Linked DNA regions of Canis lupus familiaris. The protein of the gene in region 1 purifies or fractionates together with the protein of each later gene. This does not show direct contact. Links are inferred from orthologs where the notes say so. Each region holds a gene or a part of one and is shown in the gene's direction. Other genes may lie near its edges. The genes, in order: AKIRIN2, PSMA5, IPO9 and RAN.

Region 1 (5,833 bases):
CTCATTTACCAGGCAGCACAGGGTAACACAAATGATAACCACACCCACACCCATCGCCTGATGAATTAGTTTTCCTAGGGCTGTCATAACAAAGTACCATAGACGGACAGCTTAAACAGCAGAAATGTATTTATCTCAGTTCAGGAGGCTAGAAATCTGAGAGCAAGGTATCTGCAGCGTTGGTTCCTTCTGTGGACTCTGGGAATCTGTTCCATGCTTCTCTCCTAACTTCTGGTAATTTGCTGGCCATTTTGCCTTTTCTTGGTTTATAGATGCATCTTCATGTTTTCATGCTTGTCTGTTTCCAAATTTCCCCTTTCTATTAAGGTACCAGTTATAATAGATTAGGGGCCCACCCTGCTCCAGTATGGCCTCATCTTAACTAGTTATATTTGAAATAACCTTCTTCTCAAATATGGACATCTCACACTGGGAAATACTGAGGTTAGAACATAGGACTTAAAAAAAAAAAAAAGAACATAGGAATTTTGAAAAAACACAATTTAATTCCTAACAGTCCCTTCTCCAAGTAAGTTGTATAGCTTAAGGTAGAGTCTTAATTTCAGAAAATATTTATCAGGAATATAAATGCTTTGTTATTTGCTTCCCACAGCTTAATCTATCTTTTCCTACTCATTTACATAAAATATGTGTATTCTGTTAATTTCATATCATAGGTTTTATGTTTCATGGTGTTTAGCATTCAGCAAAAATTTACCTATTGGGTGTCAGAGTTAAGCCATTGTTTCATTAAATGCTGATGATTTTCAAAAAAATATTTCCCAAACAACATATTTTAAAATAAAATTAGTGCAGTTTAGTCATTGACACAATGTGATCAGAACTGCTGATCTTTAAGGTGTTGAACAATTCAATAAAACAGGAATATATTAAACTAGTCACAAATGAGGAATTATCGACAAAATGGTTGAAATGTCTTTCAGTTACTAAATTGACAATGGGAATACATAAGTACTATACTGAAACTAGTATAGTGATATCCAAGATCATTAGAGAATATGGCATTCACATGATCATTTGAGAATATGGCAATAACTAGTTTTTGTATTGGACTGGGGATAGCTTCCATAGGCAAAAGACTGGTGACAATTTTTTACATTATTACTACCGTATTTGATTGTTATTTTAGGTACCTGAGTAGCAGTACAAAATTTCCTCTTTGCTTATAAAATGGGTTCATTATCTACTCCTTTAGACATTTCATTATGATTTTTTAATTTTTAGAGTTCAAAAGATATACTATACTACAATATTCAACAGATAATACAATTTCTGGTATCACTCGCTTTTATCCAAAGCAAAATAATTTGGCTTTGTACTCTTTCAAATTTATTCGTTTACAGGGTAAACCTGGTTTTGCAGAATTTAATAAATGGATGCAAGCAGCTACCTGGGAAGGGCAAAGCATCCAGTTCACTCGAGGATCCTGTAATCTGATACTAATAATGTTGCTCTCCCTTTCAGTCCTAAGTATGTTCCATAATCTCAGTATTTCCTAGCCTCTCATTGGGACAGGTTTTGTTTTTGGCACTCTTATTACCGAAATTAATCTGTCTTGAACTGTTGGGTTGGCTAAGTTTTCTATTTCCCATTTGTTAAATCACTGTGGGAATGGTATCAGGACAACTATGTCCTGAATTTTCAAGGTCTTTTAAGCCTATTTTCTGCATCAGTTGGCTTTCCTCTCTTCCAGTCTCTCCCAGGCTTTTCTCTTTTCCCCTTTTGCTTAGCTCCTTTTACACTCAAGCCGTGTAGGGGATTTAAATTCCAACCCGGAACTCGGAATGCCGCGCCTTGAATGACGGGAATCGTAGTTTTCGTGACTCCTCCCTAATCGCTTTTCACGCCGATTCCCTTCCACAGTGAAAAACGACAACTCCCAGAATGCGCCTGCGGGGTAGCCACCCCTGTGCGCACGCGCCCTGAGGCCGCAGAATTTGAATCGGCGGCGTTGTTATTGACGCCATATTGGGGCCGGCGGCGGGTGGAATAGTCGTACAGAGGAGGGGGAAGCGGCTGGACGTGTTCGATTGAGCTCCTGCCGCCGCCTCCACCTCGCAATCCCTCCACATCGACCGCCGCTCTCAAGCTGCTGACCTTACTCGGGCTTACTCGTGGCCGCGTTCCAGCCTCATACCTGACGGGGCTGGTTTCGACTTCCGAAGGGAGCCGGTCTCAGCGCAGGAGCGCCTCAGGCGCGGCGCAAAGCTCGAACGGACGGCGGGGGCGGCCGGAGCCTCTCCCGGGGGAGCTGTGCCTGAGGAGGCGGAAGAGCCCCCCTGACGCGGCTGTCGTGAGCGGCCGCCACCGCCCCTCCCGCTCTCGCCTGGGCCGGCCCGGCCACTGCCCCTGCCGCGGCGGCAGCGGCGGCGGCGGCTCTCGCGTCCTCGCCGGCGCTGCACCACCCCGCCTTCCTGCTCTTGAGCCCGTCGGTTAGGCTCTCCTCGGGTCCCCGCTCCCCCCCCGCTTCCCTCACCCTCCCCTCCCGTCACCTCTCCCCGACCCCACCCGAGTCCGGCCTCGGCTGCCCCGGCCATGGCGTGCGGCGCCACTCTGAAAAGGACTCTGGATTTCGACCCGCTGCTGAGCCCAGCGTCCCCGAAGCGGAGGCGATGTGCGCCATTGTCGGCGCCCACCTCGGCTGCTGCCTCTCCGTCGGCGGCGGCCGCCGCCACCGCCGCCTCCTTCTCGGCCGCCGCCGCCTCGCCGCAGAAGTATCTCCGAATGGAGCCGTCCCCCTTTGGCGACGTCTCCTCCCGCCTCACCACAGGTGGGACTCGGCCCCGCGGCCGCCGGGGTGGGCTGGAGAACGGGGGTCCCGGGACGCGGAACCCGGCCCCAGGGATGGGCTTGCCGGGTTGGCCGTCCTCCTTCGCAGAAGTAGCAGTGGAGCGGCCGCATTTCTTCAGTTGGGTCCTCTGGCCCCGGCGACACAATAGAAGTGGCCTGGTGTCAAAGGGGTGGGGGAGTCGGGAGGTGGGGAGGGCAGGGGCTGTGCCTTGCCGGGTATTGTGGGGAAGAGGAAGATCCTTTTCTTTGGGCTGAATGACTGGAATGGAGTGTTTCCGTAGTCTGGAGAGCCCCAGCGGAAATGATCAGAGAGGGTGATATTATTCATAAATTTAGGCGAGAGAAGAGTAACGTTTCGCCCGAATCTCGATATCTGTCTCCTCGAATCGATTGGTCGCAGCCCTTAACTGTGGGACTGGGTGGTTTGAGGCGAGGCAGCAGCCCCTCCTCCAGTTCAGACATGGCTGATTTTAGTACAGAGGGGGTGGGGGGTGGGGATGGATGTCACTGGGGCGAGATCTAGGCCTGTCATTAATCACCCACAAGAACGCCACTTTGGCTGAGTCAAGACCTGTTTCCCTAGCAGGGTCAACAACAAAGAAAATGCTCTTCCCGAGTACTGTAATATGATCGTACTATGCGTCTAGACCCTGAGAAACTTGAACTTTTAATGAAAAGCGAATTGTACTGAAAATTGGGCCTGAGTAGTTGCTTCTGGTTGGAGGTGCTTTATTTCTCAACAGGGTACGGTGGGGTGGCGGGGGGTGGGGGGGTGGAGAACAGCCTAGGCCTTGAGAGTAATAAAGAAATCAACCCAAGACTCTAAGGCACTTAAGACTGTCTTTGCTTTTCATCTTGAAACATTTCCTGAAAGTGACTATGGGGAAATGCCTTTTGGCTGCTTTGTACTGCATGTGTGTGTGCCCAGTTTTTTCTGTACTTTGAAAATCCTTGTGTGCCCCTGGCACAGTCCTAGGATAGGCTTTTTGTGGACTGGTAGTGTAAATCTCTTTGTGAGTATAGTATGCAAAGGTTTCATATTTGAGCCTTTAGTGATATCATTTGCAGACAAAGCCTTTTCATAGTTTAAGTGTTTTATTATCAGCTTTTAAAAAACCCGTGGGCAGTATATACCTCTATATTTGGTAACTTCCATTTGGAATTGTTTCGTTCAAGTCAGGTTTTTAAATATCCTTCCCCAGATTTTTAGGGACACCCTCAATGCCTAGGCTACCATTTCTGCTATTAAATATTTGACTAACTTAAGGATACACTATTTTAGAGTTTTAAAGAGTTTTCAGAAGAATTCTCAGTTTTATTTAGTAACTCTGCCTAAACTGCCTTGTATGTAAAGGCATTGGTTGATTGACTGTTAGGCTTTGCATTAAAAGACAATCAGTGTTATGAGCTGGTGATTAAATTATTTTTAGATTTTTGTCTTTTTAGTCAAATGATACTGAAAATTGAAATGATACCTAGGAATCCGTACTTAACAAATAAGGCCACTTAAAAATAGCCCTGGCTAACTAGCTATAAATTTCAGGGGAGCCGGTGAATTAATACAGTGTTAGGTTTGGGAGTTTAGTGTTAGGTTTGGGATATACTTTAGTATATCTCAATGCTGCAGTAGTCTTGAGCATATATGATTAACCAGCCAGGAGCTATATTTGTCTTCACTTTAAAGGGAATTTATTCAGGATTGTGATCTTTTACAAATCTGTCATTTCATTGATGCATTTGTAGCATTGGTTAATGCTGTTGGCTCCACATTGTCTCAAATTTCAATTGAGTGGATGATAATTTAGTAAATGACTGGAGTAATTGAAATTGTTTAAATAAGCCTGATGTTTCAAATTCATGTTTTCCAAAATATTGCTGTCATCTTCGGGGTGTTTTTAACATCTATTCTGGAAGTTTGATCATATCCTGAACTCTTAAAATCACAGCCTAATTGATCATTTTGAGCCTGCTAAAAGATTTAATTTTTTCAACCGACTTGAGTATTAACAGAAAAAGTTGACTTGAGGAAAGCAGTTGAGATTGTAAAGTTTTGAATTGCTAAAATTTACTTTTTTTTTTACTGTAATTTTGAATGATATTCTACATGAAGTTTAATTTGGCTTTTGTTTTTAGATGGCCAGCTTGGGTAGGCTCCTGTGTGGTTTTTGTAATGATGTCATAATGGGAGCTGCAGTGTTGTGCAGGTATAAAAGACCTTTTCAGTTATCATGTCCCCAATCTTGGAAATAATTTTTCCAAGCACTTAATTTTTAGATTTTTGTTTTAACAGTGGTGATTCTCAAACTTTGCAAGAGTAAATATCTGTATATCTGTGGCTGAAATAAATAGCTAGGGTTGGAAATGGAAAGTGATTTACCAAGTTGAGATTGACTAGGACTCTGCAGAAACTTTGTTTTCCTTTCATTTCTGTCCGTTCAAGTGTAATTTAAAAATTTAGAGCTAGAGTACTGAAATTATTTTTTTTTCCAGAACATGCATATAATTTATTGTTTTATCATTGTTCTTTTCTGGAAACTTAGTGTGTTTTGACGTGTAGTTGAAATGATGTTCTGGCTTTACTAGTTTGAGGAACTTGGGATTTCAACCCTAGTTTATTTTAGTCATCCCAGGAAGGTGATTCGAAAGTTTGACTTGATGACTGTTATTTAAATTATTTAAATCTGTATTTTTCAAACTGTTGCAACTTAATGCCAGGGAAAAGGAAAGGGCTGGTTAAAAAAAAAAAAAAGTTTTATTGGAACCAGCCAGGGTCATTCTCTTCCCCCCCCCCCCCCCCAAAGTATGGCTCATTGCAGGCTACAACTGCAGAGCTAGTATTTGTTATAGAGACTGTATTTTCCCAAAGCTCAAGTATTTACTGTCTGATCCTTTACAGAAAAAGTGTGTCCACTCCTGCCTTTCTAGGATGTCAGCAGTAAGGTTTATAATACCTGGGATGTGAAAAGGGAAAAGTGAATGAGGGTGGGGTGGGGGTAGACTGATTGGGAAAAATGAATACCTC
Region 2 (5,197 bases), on another chromosome or scaffold:
ATTTGAGAAATAATAGTGTTTGGGACAAGTCAAGATGGCAGAGGTGAAAAGAAAAACATTAGAGTTTTATTGTTTTTTTGCATGCCTGTTTAGAACTTTAGAATCTGCTCCTCCAAAATATTGGCATTAGAGTTGATCCTTTCCCACATATTTTTAAGAACTTAGTGAACTTTCCCGTTAGAAGAACAAAATTCTGTAAATTAGTGCTCTTGCCATAGATAGGAATACTACATTACTTATTAGGGGTCTGCATACTAGATATGACTTGAAACTTCTGTCTTGTGAAGTTATTCAGAGAGATCCCTGGTGAGTATGTGAGACTGTTCTTTAACCTGTACACGATAACCATAACACGTTTCTTTTTAGCTTGGTTCTACAGCCATTGGGATCCAGACATCAGAGGGTGTGTGCCTAGCTGTGGAGAAGAGAATTACCTCCCCACTCATGGAGCCAAGCAGCATTGAGAAAATTGTAGAGATCGATGCTCACATAGGTAAGGAGTAGGGGAAAGCCGTTCTGTAGGATCTGGCTTGGGTTAGTCTTCTTTGGCTTTCCAAGGGAGGTGCATATTAGATGAATATCTTATTCCTTTGTTAGCTATGGTTTTTCAGGTAGTAGGCCAGTGTGCATAATATAATAGTAGGAAGCAGCTGTAGAGCTCACCTACTCCCAGAAGTTCCTTTCTCCTTCAAATTTAGACTTGGCATGTTATGATGGTTGTTGAACTATGTAAAGGTTGAATCGGCCAGCTCCCTATGATTGGGTCTTCAGTGATGCATAATGTTAATCCTGATAGAAAACCATGAGAGTGATCATGTGGAAAACTAGAGATGTCCACTAAAAAGAGGAATTCTTAAAGCTCTTTAGGGTGACTAAGGTTCAGAGAGCATAAGAATATTTGAGCAGATCCGTCCTCTTCCTCTGTTTTCAGATTTATCTTTTTACTCTCTGTCACCCTCTACATCCCTCACCCACACCGCAGCACTTTTTTTTTTTTTTTTTTTTTTTGGTCTCTGTTTAAATTCTCCTGCCTTAGCTTCTGGCATCATTATAGTATTACAGGGTGAGTAGTTCTGCTTATTTATAGCGTGGTATTTTAGTTGGCTGTCCAAATTTTCTTAACCTACTAGTCATCTTATTAATGAAACATCAGTAAAATCAGTAAAATAATTACTTGAAGGCCTTAGAACCAAATGCCCTGGTGACTCTGAGAGCTTGACATTATTTCTTTCATGGATATAGAAACTAAGATTTAATCTTTTAAGATTAGAACATTGTTTCTATTTTAACTCAAGTCACCTGTCTTTTGGAGATAGATCAGTGTCACTTTAGCAAATTGAGAACCTACCGTGTGCCAGATACATGCTAGTCATCAGGGATACAGAGAGAAATGAGACATAGTCCTTGTATTTCAGAAGCATACAGCCTAATGGTGAAGGTGGACATGTAAATAAGAATATGCAGTTGAGTGATATAAGGTATTAAGAAAGGCTATAGTATGTGCTCAGTAGGGGTACAAAGGAGGAAATAATTAGTTTTGTCTGGAGCCAGTGGTAGTGGGTGTTGAGAAAAGGATTCTATAAAGGTGAAGCTTGAGCTGAGTTGAATTGCAAAAGATCAGGAAGTGTTCAAGTGAACAAGTGTTTGGGTATAGCAAGGGAGAGCACTGTGGTTAGAGAGAATAGAAACCCTTGATGGTGTAAAATATGGAATACGTTGGCACAAACAGTTTGGTATAATTGGGAGGCAGACTATAGCAAGAAGTGAGCTTGGGATCAGATAGTTGGAAGTTCTTTTTATTATTATGCTAAAGAGATTGAACTTGATCCTTTGCATTGATGAGAAAGATTTTAAGCATTGAGGTAATATGATCAGATGAATATTTTAGAAAGGCCATTCTGATTAACAAGGTTGCATGGTAGAGTGAAGGGATTTGAGACTGGAAACAGGGAGACCACGTAAGAAATTTCCTTTAATCCACATGGAAATAATGAGGGCCTTAACCAAAGCAGTAGCCAGAGAATGGAGAAAGTAGGATTAATGCCAGACAGGTCAATTTGATAGAGATTGATAGAATTTGGGGTCTGATTGGTTGTGAGGGCCAAGGAGTCTAGAAGGGAAAGAACTTGATTTGAGTCAGTGGTACGTCCAAGGAGATATTAAGCTAGGTTTGAAATGTGGGAATAAGGCTTAGGCTGGAGATACAGAGTTTGAGTCATGGCATATAAAGTAATAGCCATAACTTTGGCATCTTGGACCGTTAGGTAAACTTTCTCTCTAAACTATGTGGTTTGTATTTGGTCAGAAAGATGAAAAAGCTTTTGATTTTATCATAGGGTCTTTCACCATAGCTCATAGTGAGATGGTTATTTTTTTATCTTTATTTCTTCTGTTGGAATACTAGTGTTTGCTTATTTTGAAAGTGCATTGTGGTCACAAAGTGCTAAAGGGATGCTTAAGGATGTAATATGTGGAAAATCATGTTTGTTTGGCTGTTCTTTTCTGTCTTCTATCTTATTGGACTTCTGTGTTATTGTGGGTGGTTTTTTATTTATTTGTAATATAATTCTATTTGTGTTCAGTACAGATAATCAAATAATTTCCCATCTGTCTCTTGGGTATATTGCCATGGGATTGCTATATGGCTGCCATGATTCCATTTCAGTATTTCAGTTACTTCCTGAGTGGATGAAAGAGTCTGCAAGGATTTGGCCCCTGGGTCACTATTGCTTTTACATTGCAGGTTGTGCCATGAGTGGGCTAATTGCTGATGCTAAGACTTTAATTGATAAAGCCAGAGTGGAGACACAGGTAAAATTAGCATCATCTCTCTTTTTTACCATGATGCTTGAGTTCCTTGTTAATGACGATATAGCTGCCTGGGCTATCTTGCGGGTTATCTGTGTTAATGTCAAATGTAGCTGTTGGGAGTGGTTTTGGATAGAATCCCTAGTTTATAACTTTCTGAGGCTTGGGGTCTAGCCATCCAACCATTGCAGCTTTAAGGAAGCTGACAAATAGTGCTGACAGTCTCTTGCTTCTTTTTGATTTGCCTTATATAAAGCAAGCTTTACACTGCCTTCTGTTCCCTAATTGACTTTTTGTGGGAGCACCATAGCAAGAAGTGGATGTAGCTAAAGAGCATTCTATCCCAACTGCTTTGGTGTTGGGCTTGCAAATAACAGCTCTCCTGTGGCAAGTAATATTATGGTTCCAGGTGACAGATACTGATCAGGAATACTGATATTTTCTGCTTGGAGAATAGACCAGTAAGAAAAAATCTGATTGGTAAAATTTTTTTTGCATTTATTTTCAACTTTGCTGTCAGACTTATATACAAGTAAGTCATTAATTTAAACGCCAGTGGGGCACTTGGGTGGCTCAGTTGGTTCAGCATCTGCCTGTGGCTCAGGTCATGATCCCAGGGTCCTGGGATTGATCCCCACGTGGGGCTCCCTGTTCAATGGGGAGTCTGCTACTCCCTTTCTCTCTCCTCTCTCCCCCACCCTGCCTTGCTCATCATGCATGCTCTCTCTCAAATAAATAAAAGCTTTAAAAAAAAATTTAAACACCAATAAACACAATGATGAGATAAGGTCTGTGAGGGAAAGTGGCACTTAACTGTTAGCATTCACTTTGTGCAAAGACTAAGTTTGGTTATATGAGGGGTTAACTGGTTTTCAATGGAGTCATCCTCTAGTCTGTCATTACTTAAGAGTCCTTTTGATCAGAGTTTATTTGCAGAGCTATTTCTCTTTCTCATGTAGTCCCAAGCATTTGAGTTTAGTGTTAAGGAAAACGAAATGGAGCTGAGCATTCAGTTTACAATCACAGTTCACAGGGATGTGTGTAGTGGGATGGTGGGCTGCTTTAATGCTTTTCTTATTTAAAAGGTAGACTGTTTTAGGGGCACCTGCGTGGTTCAATTGGTTAAGCGTCCAGCTCTTGATTTCAGCTCAGGTCATGATCTCAGTATTGTGGGAGTGAGCCCCACATCATGCTCTGTGCTCAGTAGGGAGTCTGCTTGAAATTCTCTTTCCCTCTCTGCCCTCCACCACATGTGCTCTCTCTCTCAAATAAATACATAAATCTTTAAACAAAAAAAAAAAGAAGAAGAAGAAGAGGTAGACCACATTTTGCTCTTCTTCTAGAACCATTGGTTCACCTACAATGAGACAATGACAGTGGAAAGTGTGACTCAAGCTGTGTCCAATCTAGCTCTACAGTTTGGTGAAGAAGATGCAGATCCAGGTGCCATGGTGAGTGTGGTGTTTGTGTCAAGTTTTCTTGCTGTTCTAAGGGATGCAGGATATTTGTCTTCTGAACATACCTTTCTCAGCCCCTCTGACCGCCTACTTCAATAGCCATTTATCTTAAGACCTCTTGTTTTTTGGTTCTAGTCTCGTCCCTTTGGAGTAGCACTGTTATTTGGAGGAGTTGATGAGAAAGGACCTCAGCTGTAAGAATAATTTGCCATTTTTTCCTGTTTCTTTTTTGGTAGAATTTTTAATTTGGGTTGGGGACTTGCTTAAATCAACTGAGAAGATTATTATAGAATTACAGAAAATGAGGGGCGTCTAACTCTAAAGTTCAGTGATTGTGTGCTCTTTATATAGAAAGACAAATTTGAGGATTCTATGAAAAACTATTGACACCACTGCTAATTCTGGGAAGAATTAAAAGTAACTTTGTTACTATGGTCAGGATGCATTTTAGAGCTTTGTTTTAGAACATTGATTTGCTCCTTATTCTCAAATATTATTTAGGTAAGCCTACTCAGGTGCAATATTTATATCATCTGTACTTCTGAATCTCTGAGGAATTTATTAAACGCTTTTTGAAAGATCTGGTTCTCTAGGCACAGAATGTCTTTGGACCTGTGCCTCAGTATTTTGGTGGTTTCCTGGCTGCAGAGCCAAGCATTTATATTCTTCAGTGAGATGTTTGTTTCTTAAAATGCCACCACGCTTCATTTTAACCACCCCTCCTTTGGGGGAGTTTTGTAGGTTTCATATGGACCCATCTGGAACCTTTGTACAGTGCGATGCTAGAGCAATTGGCTCTGCTTCAGAGGGTGCCCAGAGCTCCTTGCAAGAAGTTTACCACAAGGTAATTGAGCCTTCTCACAACTTTTATTATTATTTTTAAAATCAGGGTATAATTTACATATAATACAGTGGGCAGACCTTAAGAATTG
Region 3 (5,197 bases), on another chromosome or scaffold:
AATATCCCTTGTGATCAGAAATAACCATTTTTGAGATAGTTGATTAGGTGAAGCAAGGATTGAAAAGTGCATGGCTCTATCTGTAACAGTAAACTCCTGACTCCAACAGTATATACCCACCACAAACCCTGTAGGCTCATCACTCTTATGAGGCATAAGCCTCTAAGAATAACATTTGCCCGTACAGACTGAGGGCCTCCTGACATCTGTTCCCACTGTTGCTAATCTTGTTTGCCACCTTTGTCTCCCCAGAATGGTGGAGAGTGCTTGCGAGCTTACGTGTCAGTGACGCTGGAGCAGGTGGCCCAGTGGCACGACGAGCAGGGCCACAATGGGCTGTGGTACGTGATGCAAGTGGTGAGCCAACTCCTGGACCCCCGTACCTCAGAGTTCACTGCGGCCTTTGTGGGTCGCCTTGTCTCCACCCTCATCTCCAAGGCAGGGCGGGAGCTGGGGGAAAATCTGGACCAGATTCTTCGTGCCATCCTCAGTAAGATGCAGCAGGCAGAGACGCTCAGTGTCATGCAGGTAAGAGGACAGTGGGAGTTGGGCTTTCCCAACCAACCTCCAGGTGGTAGAGATGGAAATCAGTATACAGGTCCCGAGGTGTTTTTACTGTCATACTGTCCTTAGACAACAGTTAAGTAACACCTGTGTGTTCTAGCCCAAGAAATACTGACAGGGAAGTCTCCGTGTCCTCTAGTTCTTGCCTGGCTGGCCCCATTCCCTCTCATCTCCCAAGTCTCTGACATTGGTTTCCCTGAAGCAGATGTCCTTCTTGTTGCCTCCTAGTCTCTGATCATGGTGTTCGCCCATCTGGTGCACACTCAGCTGGAACCCCTCTTGGAGTTCCTGTGCAGCCTCCCGGGACCTACTGGCAAACCCGCCCTGGAGTTTGTAATGGCTGAATGGACGAGCCGACAGCATCTGTTCTATGGACAGTATGAAGGCAAAGTCAGGTAGGGCCGTCTTTCTGTTGTGGGCATTCCGCCTCTCCTTGCATTTCTTCCTTCTCTGACTTGCTTCATTGATTTTTGCTCAACATGTCAAACTGCCCCTTGTATTCCCTTTCCCTCTGTATCTTTATTGTTAGTCGGTGTCTTTGAATAGCTGCCATCTCGAATTTCCAAAACATAGTCACAGGTAGACCGTGCTTGTTTTTCCTCTCTGCTGCCTAGAGATCCTCCTCTGCCAGACTTCAAGCCAAGCACTGCTAGTGGCTTATTCTCCTTTATAAACCCAAGCCTTCTAACCCTGGCTTGCTAACTTTCTATCTTAGACTTGCTTCCCACTGGTTCTCATTACCGCATTGCACTTTCCAGGTGGCCAGCCATTGTGATCCTTGCCCCCCCCCCCCCCCCAGCTTTGTTTAAGAAGTTCAAAAGTTCTCATTAGGCCATCTTCGTGAACACTAAATCTCATTTTCAGCTGAACCCTCTTATCTCTTGTAATTAGTTGTGAACAGAATTTTCACCAATCAAGAGTCTTAGGACTTAATTGCTTATCTCCTTGGAATAAACTCTAGATGGGTTGCTGATTGACCCTTTTTGGCTCTTCCTTGCCAGCTCTGTGGCACTGTGTAAACTGCTCCAGCATGGCATCAATGCAGATGACAAACGGCTACAGGATATCCGCGTGAAGGGAGAGGAGATCTACAGCATGGATGAGGGCATCCGCACCCGCTCTAAGTCAGCCAAAAGTGGGTGATGCTGCTGCCCCTCCAGTCCCCTCCCTAGGGGCTAAAGTGGGGTGGAAGGCAGGGATGTACTGTAATCTAGTTTTTTTTTTTTTTAAACATAATTGTTAGTGATGGGTTTGATAAAAAGAAACAAAACTATAGGTAAAAAAGGGATCAGAACATACGGCTCCTTCCTCTTGCTGGAAATTGGCAAAAACAATCTTAGGTACCCCAGCTTCCAGCTTCATTCGGGGGCTCTGATACCCATTTCAGCATGTCTTTGTTATCGGATTGCTTTTGGCCTATGATTTTAGTGATTTGTAGGCAGCAGGTGCGAAGCTGCCCTATTCAGCCGTAGGTTTATAATCACCTCTGCTGTTTCTCAAACTGCAAGTCATGGGCACTGGAGTATTGCACTCTCTACAGTTACTTGGTGTCCAAGCTTTATTACCAGCAAAAACCATTTTCTATCTCCTTTAATTCCTGAACTCTCTTATCTGTCCTAACTTCTGAACTCTTAGACCAAGCAGAATGGAGTTATTTAACTTTAAATTGTTGTGTGGCAGCTGGATATAGTCTGGGATGGTGGAAAGCCTGAGGGCTGGTAAACTGTGTCCAGTGAGCAGTGCCAGAAGTTAGCACAGTGACAGTCTTCCTAGAAGCCTTTCCTTTCTTTTCCAGACCCTGAGCGCTGGACAAACATTCCTTTGCTGGTCAAGATCCTGAAGCTGATCATCAATGAGCTCTCCAACGTCATGGAGGCCAACGCCGCACGCCAGGCCACTCCTGCAGAGTGGAATCAAGGTGCACTGGCTCTTACTCCCAGCAGACTGTTAGCCTAGCAGATCAAGTTACAAATGTTCAAATCATCAATTTGGTTTATTGAATTACTGTTTTTTTTTTAAATGTTTGTATCATGCCTGTCATGTGGCTAGCACTGCTATGCACGTGAAGACCTCTTCAGGTCTGCCTTGTGAAATCTCTTCAGAGGCTGGGGTGTGCTGTAGCTAGGAGGCAGGCTAGTTAGCCCTTCCTGTATGGTTTTTCTTAGGAGTTTCTCAACCTTTTATCTACCCACCTGAACACCCTCGGTTCTTCCATTTAAACTTACTGTGAGGGCTTGACCATAGGGCCACATTACGGAAACCCATGGGACCTTTCCGTTCTGGCTTGTTTGCATTTGGGAAGGGACAATGTGTGAGCATGTTCCAGCTGCTTTTCATCTCTGAGTAGATGACTCCAATGATATGTGGGAGGACCAGGAGGAAGATGAAGAGGAGGAAGAGGATGGTTTAGCTGGCCAACTCTTATCTGACATTCTTGCTACAAGTAAATATGGTAAGCCATTTGAGAAGAGGGCAGCCATGCTATGTACCTTTTCTGTGCACTGGTCCCAAGAGGCAGGGTGCCAAAGGAAGGGGGGAGGTGGGCCTACAAGGGATGTACCTTGGGCTTCTTTAGCCCATCTACCCTAGCCGTGTGATGCCTTCCCGCTTGGGGCCCGAGCTTCTGCCCTGACCCCTCTCTGTGGTGACTGTGTCTAACAGAGGAGGATTACTACGAGGATGATGAGGAAGATGACCCTGATGCCCTGAAGGATCCTCTCTATCAGATTGATCTGCAGGTGAGAATGTCCAGAGAAGATAGATGTCTTGCAAGTGACAATGTCTCAAGCCACGGAAACAGGAATATGGTCTCACACTCATTCGTAGTTTGTCCTGAGAGCTTCAGGGCAGAGAGTTCCTGTCCTGCTGAATAGTCAAGGACTCTGGGTGGACTGGGACTTTGCACCTTAGCATTTTATTCCTACCAGTATGGCAGTCCAGTTTCTTGCAACCCCAGCTGTCTTGTGAAGGCTTCCCGGTAGAATAGGAGATCTGTTGGGAAAATTTCATTTCCTTACGGAATTGAGTCCCTGGGTTAAACCTAAACTAGATCCAAGAATGTAGAAAGCCATCCCTCGGGGTGTTGGCATTTGTCTCAGAGCCACTGCTTCCTATACCACTTGTGCTTGCCCCACTGTGGATGGTGAGCCTGGGAACCCTCAGTAATGCCACTCTTTTTCTTCCCTCCAGGCATATCTCACGGACTTCCTCTGCCAGTTCGCTCAACAGCCCTGCTACATAATGTTCTCAGGCCACCTTAATGACAACGAGAGGCGGGTTCTGCAGACCATTGGCATCTAAAAAAAAAAATGGAGACTTTCCACATTTGCTCCTCCTGGCTCAGCCACAAACCATTTTGCAGCCCTTAACTGGCCTCGACATGTACTTTCTTTTCAACCTAGAGTGGCCTCCTGACTCGGCCCTTGGCCTTTGCAGAGTGACACTGACAATTCAGACTGAGCTCACCAGTGCTGTCACTTAGGAATACTGGAACAAAGGACATTTCTCAAAGTCCCCCTGAAGATACTCCATCTCTAGGACCTTTTTCTCCCCAACTGTGCCCCCACTTCTGTTCCTAGAGTCCTCTGCTGGCCGCTCCCGAAACATATTGCCCAGAAGGATTATGTGTTCATGGATTATTTTGCCCCACCTCAGGAGCACAGGAAGTCATGACCATTTATATTCTAAAACAGACCTGTTTACTTCCATAGGACATCTGAGGTATTCAGATAGGAATACCCTTGAGAGATGATTGTGCTTTCTGCCCTCCACCACAGATGCTCTGGGTTCTCCATAGGAACGAGGGGAGCAGCTACCTTCTGAGCCCTCTCCAGTGACCTCTCCTTGTCTCCCTCCTACAACACTAAGGTTCCCCTGTCAAAGGACGTCATCTTGGTTTTGCCTCATTGCATGATTCAGCACCTCCCCCCAAGCTATTCCTGCGTATACATGCACACACACAAAATAAGCCAGACAGATGGCAATTTGTTTTTCCTTTTTTAGGAAAAAAAAAAAATGGGAAAAACATTTTTTAAAGTCCTCCTGACCCAACTATATTTAATATTCCTCTCCCACACATCACCACACAGTCTGATATTCAAAGGTTACCCCCTCTCCCTCAGGAATCCTCTAAAGTGGTTAAGTTGTAGCCCTCAAATTTGCAATGTGTATTTTTCTAGGAGAGTAAAGTAATCTTTACAAATGAATTTAGTCCGCATGGTATAAGGTGTCCCAGCACATCTGCCTTCTGTTCCTTTTAGAAGGAAAATAAAAGTAAGGAAAAAAAGATTAGGCGGAGCCATGTAGACACCCTAGTGTGTCCTAGGTAACCTAGCTCGAGCAAAATGACTCTTAGAGAACTGGTATCGTCCAATCAAGATTTTTTTTTAAAGATTTTATTTATTTATTCATGAGAGACAGAGAGAGGCAGAGGGAGAAGCAGGCTCCCTGTGGGGAGCCCGCCACAGGACTCGATCCCAGTACTTGAGCCAAAGGCAGACACTCAAACCACTGAACCCCCCCCCCCAGGTGCCCCAATCAAGTATTTTTAAGGGAGGTCCCTTAATTGGGAATTTCAGTCTGTTGTATGTTCACAAAGTGAATGAGGATAACAAAGGGAGGAAGACAAAGCCCA
Region 4 (5,362 bases), on another chromosome or scaffold:
GTTTGCTTGCAAAGGGCACTGAAGACTAAGTGGCTAACTCCTCCTCCGTCATCTGGGTTCTCTGCGCTCTGGGAAGAGTCCCCACGGTGGAATCCTTCCTGAGCAACCAGACTACTCTGATGGGGCCACCAGCGGTACTACTCTTGCCGCGAGTGCGGATGTTTGCTTGCAGAGGGGGCCGAGAGGATCTGGGTTATGGAGAATCTGTGGCTGTCCACACAAATGCCAAAAACTGGCCCTAGATTTAGGGTAAGAGGTTAGAGGACTCCACTTGGCCCACTTCCTTGCTGAGAATGAATAGTAGTTAACTGTCAACACTTGCTGAGCTTGTGGCTCATCTTACTTTCTGCCTACACCGGCCCTACGAGGTGGGCATCCCCAGCAGCATGTGACTTCTGAGTGCATGGATCTCGTCTGCATTCTTGCCAGCTTTATTGTCTCCACAGTCTGGAACCTACATACTCATCGATTGCATCCAAATTTGTAACTGGGATGCGAGCCGCCAGGTTTGAAAACACGATTTCGTCATCCTGTGCGCAGGATACAGTCACAAAGGCTGCTGACCAAGGAAATGCTTTAACAAAAGGGTGGCTGCCTTTTAGGGTGAGAAAAAGCATCGATTTTGCACCCTTTACCCCCAAGTAAGGTTTTGGCTGGAGCCAGGGACACCGGGTGTGGGCGGTGGGGGGGCCTGAAACACAAGGCAGGGGCCCGCGGGGTCCAGGTGAGAGGAGGGGGTGCGGCGGGGGCCCAGGGCAGGCTCTGCGGACCGGGGTCTGGGAGGAAGGGCCGGGGCCGGGCCGGGCCGGGGGCGCAGGAAGCGGCCGAGAGGGTGATGGAGGCCCGGGGGAGGCAGGTGGCAGATGGACGGGCGGCTCCGGGAGAGGGTGCGGGTCGGAGCGCCCGGGGTGCCGCGAGAGCCCACAGGGGCAGGGCCACAGGGGCAGGGCCCAAGGCCTCCGCACGCGCCCGCTTCCCCCGCGGCGCACCGTCCCGCGCGCCCACGGCGAGGCCCCACGCCCGGAGGCCCGGGGCTTTGTGTCGGCCGCTCCCCGCGACTTTCCCGCCCAAGAGGCCTGCGCTCTCCTCCCAGTGTCGTGGCGCGGCCGCAGCTGGGCGCGCCGCGTCGGCGTCGGCGCATGCGCGCGCTGGAACCCGCCCTTGGGCCGGCGCACGTGGCCCCGCGAGCCGGCGTGCGTCCGCGCGCCCGCGCCGAGCGCGACTGCCGCCCCGCCGCGACTCTCCCCTCCGCGCCCGGCCGACGGGTGTGGCCGGCCGAGCCCGCGGCGTGCGTGCGCGCGCACGCCGGGCCACGTGGGAGCGACGCGGCGCCGTTGCCCCGCCCCCCCCGGCGCGCGCCGGCGTCGGCTGCGTCTCCGGGCATTTGAATTGCGCTTCCGCCATCTTCCAGCCCTCAGTCAGACGGGCCGGAGACGCTTCTGGAAGGTAAGGCAGCGGGGCCGGGCCGGGGGCCGCGGGGGCCGCGGGGGCCAGGGGCCGGGGGGCCGGGGGGCCGGGGGGTCGGGGGCCGGGCGGGGGCCGGGCGAGGGCCGGGCGAGGGCCGGGGCCGGGGCCGGGCGGCAGTCGTGCGGGCCGGGGCGGCGGCGGCGGCGGCGGCGGGCTCTCGCCGTCCCCTGCCGTAGAGACCGAAGACCGTGGCCGGGACGCCAGTCGCGGTGGGCCCGGGCGGGCGGCGGCCCCGGGGCGGCGCGGGCCGGGGGGCGCGCGATCGGGGCCCCGGGCGGCCCCGGCCTCCGCCCCGCGCGCCGGCCTCCGCCCCGGCCTCCCGGCCTCCCTCCCCCACGGGCGCGCCGCCAGACCCGCCGCCGGAGCAGCGCCGCTCGCCCGCCCGCCCGCCGCCGGGAGCGCGCCGCGGCCCCCGCCCCGGCCCGGGCGTGCGCGCGTGGGGCCCGGCCGCCGGAGCCCCTTTGTGGGCCCGGGCACGTGGGGCGGGCCGGCCATGTGGGCCCGGGCCCCGCCGCCAGCCGTCCCACGTCTGTCTCCCCGCAGCACCAGCGCTATGGCTGCCCAGGGAGAGCCCCAAGTCCAGTTCAAGGTGGGTGGTGCGCGGGGGCGGCCGGGGGGAGCGGGGCGGCGCGGCCCGGGGGGCGCCGGGGCCTCCCCTCCCCCCCCCCGCCCCCCGCGACCGCGTCCTGTCTCGTAGCTGGTGCTGGTTGGCGACGGCGGCACCGGCAAGACCACGTTCGTGAAGCGTCACCTGACGGGTGAATTCGAGAAGAAGTATGTAGGTACGTGGGGGGAGCCGCGGGGGCCCCCGGGAGCGGGGCGCGAGCGGACCTGACGGCCGTGCTTGTGTTGCAGCCACTCTGGGCGTGGAGGTCCACCCCCTCGTGTTCCACACCAACAGGGGCCCCATCAAGTTCAACGTGTGGGACACCGCCGGCCAGGAGAAGTTCGGCGGGCTCCGGGACGGCTACTACATCCAAGGTGGGTGAGGGCGGGCCGGCGGCTGCCGCGTGCTGTGTCATGATGGGCGCAGCGCCGAGCCTGGAGCCTGGAGCCGGGACCCGGAGCGGGCTCCTCACCTAAGACAATGAGCATCCCACGAGGTGCTGCTGTGGCTGCCGGAGTCGTTGGGGCTGGTTGGGGGTTTTTTTGCTTGTTTTTTTCCCTCAAGGGCACTGTAGAGTGGCAGATAAAGACAGGAAGAAAATGTCATCTGGGATCTCTTGTGATGAAAGATGATTGGGAGTCCTTCCATATTTTGCATCCTTTGCTATGTTACAGATACACAGCTTTTTTTTTCTCTTCTTAAAAAGTGTTTAATTAGGAAACTCCTAGACTGTACATACTTCGGTTTGTTGTCTCAATTATATTAGAATTGTGTTCCTCATAGGTCAGTATGTAGGCCTGCGTGTTTTAAGGCAGAATAACATACTCTTTTGTGTAGTTTAGGATCATTTAAAGAGCAGGTTCTGAGATCCTCAGAATAGAGGAGACCAGTTGTCTTAGGGTGCTGCTCTATCGGTAGTCTACTTGAGATTCTGGGATGGGACGGAATTAATGAAGTATTACGGGAGAGATTTGATAAGCTAGGCTGGTAGTTCACACTCACACAGAAAATGAAACTTTAAATCTTGTTACGTATTACAGTGGTTGGAGATCCTTAAACTTGGAAGAGAGAGACATTGGGGTGTAGTGAGTGCAGAAGCAGAGGTAGCCAGATTGGGCCTGTCCCCTAGCCCGTGCTCCTTAGCATTCCTCATTTGTGCAAGAAGTCATACATGTGTAACAGTTTTCCTACATCTGTTTCAGCCCAGTGTGCCATTATAATGTTTGACGTAACGTCAAGGGTTACTTACAAGAATGTGCCTAACTGGCATAGAGATCTGGTACGAGTGTGTGAGAACATCCCCATTGTGCTCTGTGGCAATAAAGTGGATATTAAGGACAGAAAAGTTAAGGCAAAATCTATCGTCTTCCACCGAAAGAAGAACCTTCAGGTATGTTTTTTAAAACTTAATTGTTTTTCTCTAAGATGAAACTACGGTAATAGATCCACTAAAGGAAATTGTGTCTGTGGTATGGATGGAAAAACTATTTTTAGTTTTAAACATTTCAATGATCCTCAAGAAGTAGATTTTTAAAAACTTATTTTATTTTATGGAACAGTACTATGACATTTCTGCCAAAAGTAACTACAATTTTGAGAAGCCGTTCCTGTGGCTTGCTAGAAAACTAATTGGAGACCCTAACCTGGAGTTTGTCGCCATGCCTGCTCTTGCCCCCCCAGAGGTGGTCATGGATCCAGCTCTGGCAGCACAGTACGAGCACGATCTAGAGGTAGGTGGCAGATGGGTCCGTCAGTGGGATCTCTTGGGTGTCCCGTGTCCTGACGGCTCTAACCCATGGTGTCCTGACGTTGTGTCTCTGTCCAGGTTGCTCAGACGACCGCGCTCCCGGATGAGGATGATGACCTGTGAGAAGTGCAGCTGGAGGCCAGCGTCAGAAGTCTAGTTTTATAGGCAACTGTCCTGTGATGTCAGTGGTGCAGCGTGTTTGCCACTTTTATTATATAGCTGAGCAGAACATGTGCTTAATCTTTGGGATGCTGAAGGAGATGAATGGGCTTCGGAGTGAATGTGGCAGTTTAAACAGTACCTTCATTTTTTTGGACCTGCATACTTAGCTGTTTTGGAACGCAGTTGTTTCCTTCCTGAGTTTCAGATAATGAGACTGCTACAGTCCCATCACAATATCCAGTGGTGAAATCTCGTTTGTCACTGTCATTCCCATTCCTTTTCGTTTAGAATCAGAATAAAGTTGTATTTCAAATATCTAAGCCAATGAACTCCTCCCTTGTTTGGTAAGCATCTTAAAACCACTAACAGGAAAAGTTGTGCCACGTTACTGTTGAACTGGCCTTTGCTATTCTCCCTTAATTTGAATCTTTGCAGGTTAAGTTCTTGTCTATTTGTACATTTGGATCCTCTCACACAGGTGACAGGGCAGACATCCGCAGTATTCCGTTTGGTAGATTGTTAGAGGGGTGAGCATCCGTGGTGAAGCTAAAACGATGCCCGTCGCATCTGCCTTCAGACTGGGTGGTGTCACCTGGGGAAGAGCTTTGGACTTCTGTGACCTGTTGGAACAAAACTACTAGACGTTTCGGATAGGCATTTTAAGAATTACAGTTAACATTATTTTGTGACCAGTAACCGTGCTCTCATGTAGGGATGTTCAGAATCTGGTAGAACGATAACAGATGACGGTGGGGACTTGACAGGAGTCTCATTTGTTAAAAATGAGTGTAAGTTATGCATTGATTTGATTTTGTTTTAATGTTAACGTCTAATGTGAAGCTGGTACTCTAGAAAGATGTTCCACGATTACCCGCTGCTTTCAAGTATTTCTGAGTGTTAAAGATGCTGAAGAGTAAGGATTTAAGTTGGGCATCTCACAGCTTTGATGCTTTTTTTTTTTTCTGAAGGATTTTTGTGGCCAATTCAAAGGCACGAACACTAAATAGAAAAGTAGATCTTAGAATGGCTTCTTGAAACGTGAAACATTGCAAAGGTTTCGTTGGATCAAACCATTTATCTTTGTATGATTTACACATTTAAGAACGAGTGGAGTCTGTCTTCAGTTTTGACCCCATGGATGCTATACTGTAGCAGTTAGGAGTCTTAAACTATTATGCTCACTTGAGCACTGCTATGGTTGTTTACCAAAGTTCCTTAGATGTCCATTTCTCCTTAAATGGTTACTTTCTTACCTAAAAAGAAGGTAGGAAGGGGTTGCTTAAATATATGGAAAAATGAAATACAGAGGGTAGAATTTAATAAATTTCAATATTGAGTAAATGTATCAATAGATGTACTTCAATTACTGTAAATGTTAC

What was found.
Region 2: the proteins of AKIRIN2 (region 1) and PSMA5 purify together in Homo sapiens (affinity purification with mass spectrometry; 3 studies listed by BioGRID and IntAct, with this or other methods). This does not show direct contact. The link is inferred for Canis lupus familiaris from reciprocal best matches to the Homo sapiens genes AKIRIN2 and PSMA5.
Region 3: the proteins of AKIRIN2 (region 1) and IPO9 purify together in Homo sapiens (affinity purification with mass spectrometry; 3 studies listed by BioGRID and IntAct, counting the BioPlex papers as one, with this or other methods). This does not show direct contact. The link is inferred for Canis lupus familiaris from reciprocal best matches to the Homo sapiens genes AKIRIN2 and IPO9.
Region 4: the proteins of AKIRIN2 (region 1) and RAN purify together in Homo sapiens (affinity purification with mass spectrometry; 3 studies listed by BioGRID and IntAct, counting the BioPlex papers as one, with this or other methods). This does not show direct contact. The link is inferred for Canis lupus familiaris from reciprocal best matches to the Homo sapiens genes AKIRIN2 and RAN.

What each region holds. Positions count from the first base shown.
Region 1 is NC_049233.1:47,344,364-47,350,196, reverse strand, and holds the start of AKIRIN2 (akirin-2), read left to right. Parts: upstream 1-2,452; 5' UTR 2,453-2,556; coding exon 2,557-2,791; intron 2,792-5,833. UniProt on the Homo sapiens protein: Molecular adapter that acts as a bridge between a variety of multiprotein complexes, and which is involved in embryonic development, immunity, myogenesis and brain development.
Region 2 is NC_049227.1:42,891,143-42,896,339, forward strand, and holds part of PSMA5 (proteasome subunit alpha type-5), read left to right. Parts: intron 1-366; coding exon 367-493; intron 494-2,743; coding exon 2,744-2,811; intron 2,812-4,151; coding exon 4,152-4,259; intron 4,260-4,400; coding exon 4,401-4,459; intron 4,460-5,006; coding exon 5,007-5,109; intron 5,110-5,197. UniProt on the Homo sapiens protein: Component of the 20S core proteasome complex involved in the proteolytic degradation of most intracellular proteins. This complex plays numerous essential roles within the cell by associating with different regulatory particles.
Region 3 is NC_049228.1:1,203,398-1,208,594, reverse strand, and holds part of IPO9 (importin-9), read left to right. Parts: intron 1-252; coding exon 253-528; intron 529-792; coding exon 793-959; intron 960-1,565; coding exon 1,566-1,699; intron 1,700-2,359; coding exon 2,360-2,482; intron 2,483-2,911; coding exon 2,912-3,016; intron 3,017-3,225; coding exon 3,226-3,302; intron 3,303-3,753; coding exon 3,754-3,864; 3' UTR 3,865-5,197. UniProt on the Homo sapiens protein: Nuclear transport receptor that mediates nuclear import of proteins, such as histones, proteasome and actin. Serves as receptor for nuclear localization signals (NLS) in cargo substrates.
Region 4 is NC_049247.1:1,620,078-1,625,439, reverse strand, and holds RAN (GTP-binding nuclear protein Ran), read left to right. Parts: upstream 1-2,008; 5' UTR 2,009-2,020; coding exon 2,021-2,056; intron 2,057-2,164; coding exon 2,165-2,249; intron 2,250-2,322; coding exon 2,323-2,448; intron 2,449-3,276; coding exon 3,277-3,464; intron 3,465-3,633; coding exon 3,634-3,804; intron 3,805-3,899; coding exon 3,900-3,944; 3' UTR 3,945-3,958; downstream 3,959-5,362. UniProt on the Homo sapiens protein: GTPase involved in nucleocytoplasmic transport, participating both to the import and the export from the nucleus of proteins and RNAs. Switches between a cytoplasmic GDP- and a nuclear GTP-bound state by nucleotide exchange and GTP hydrolysis.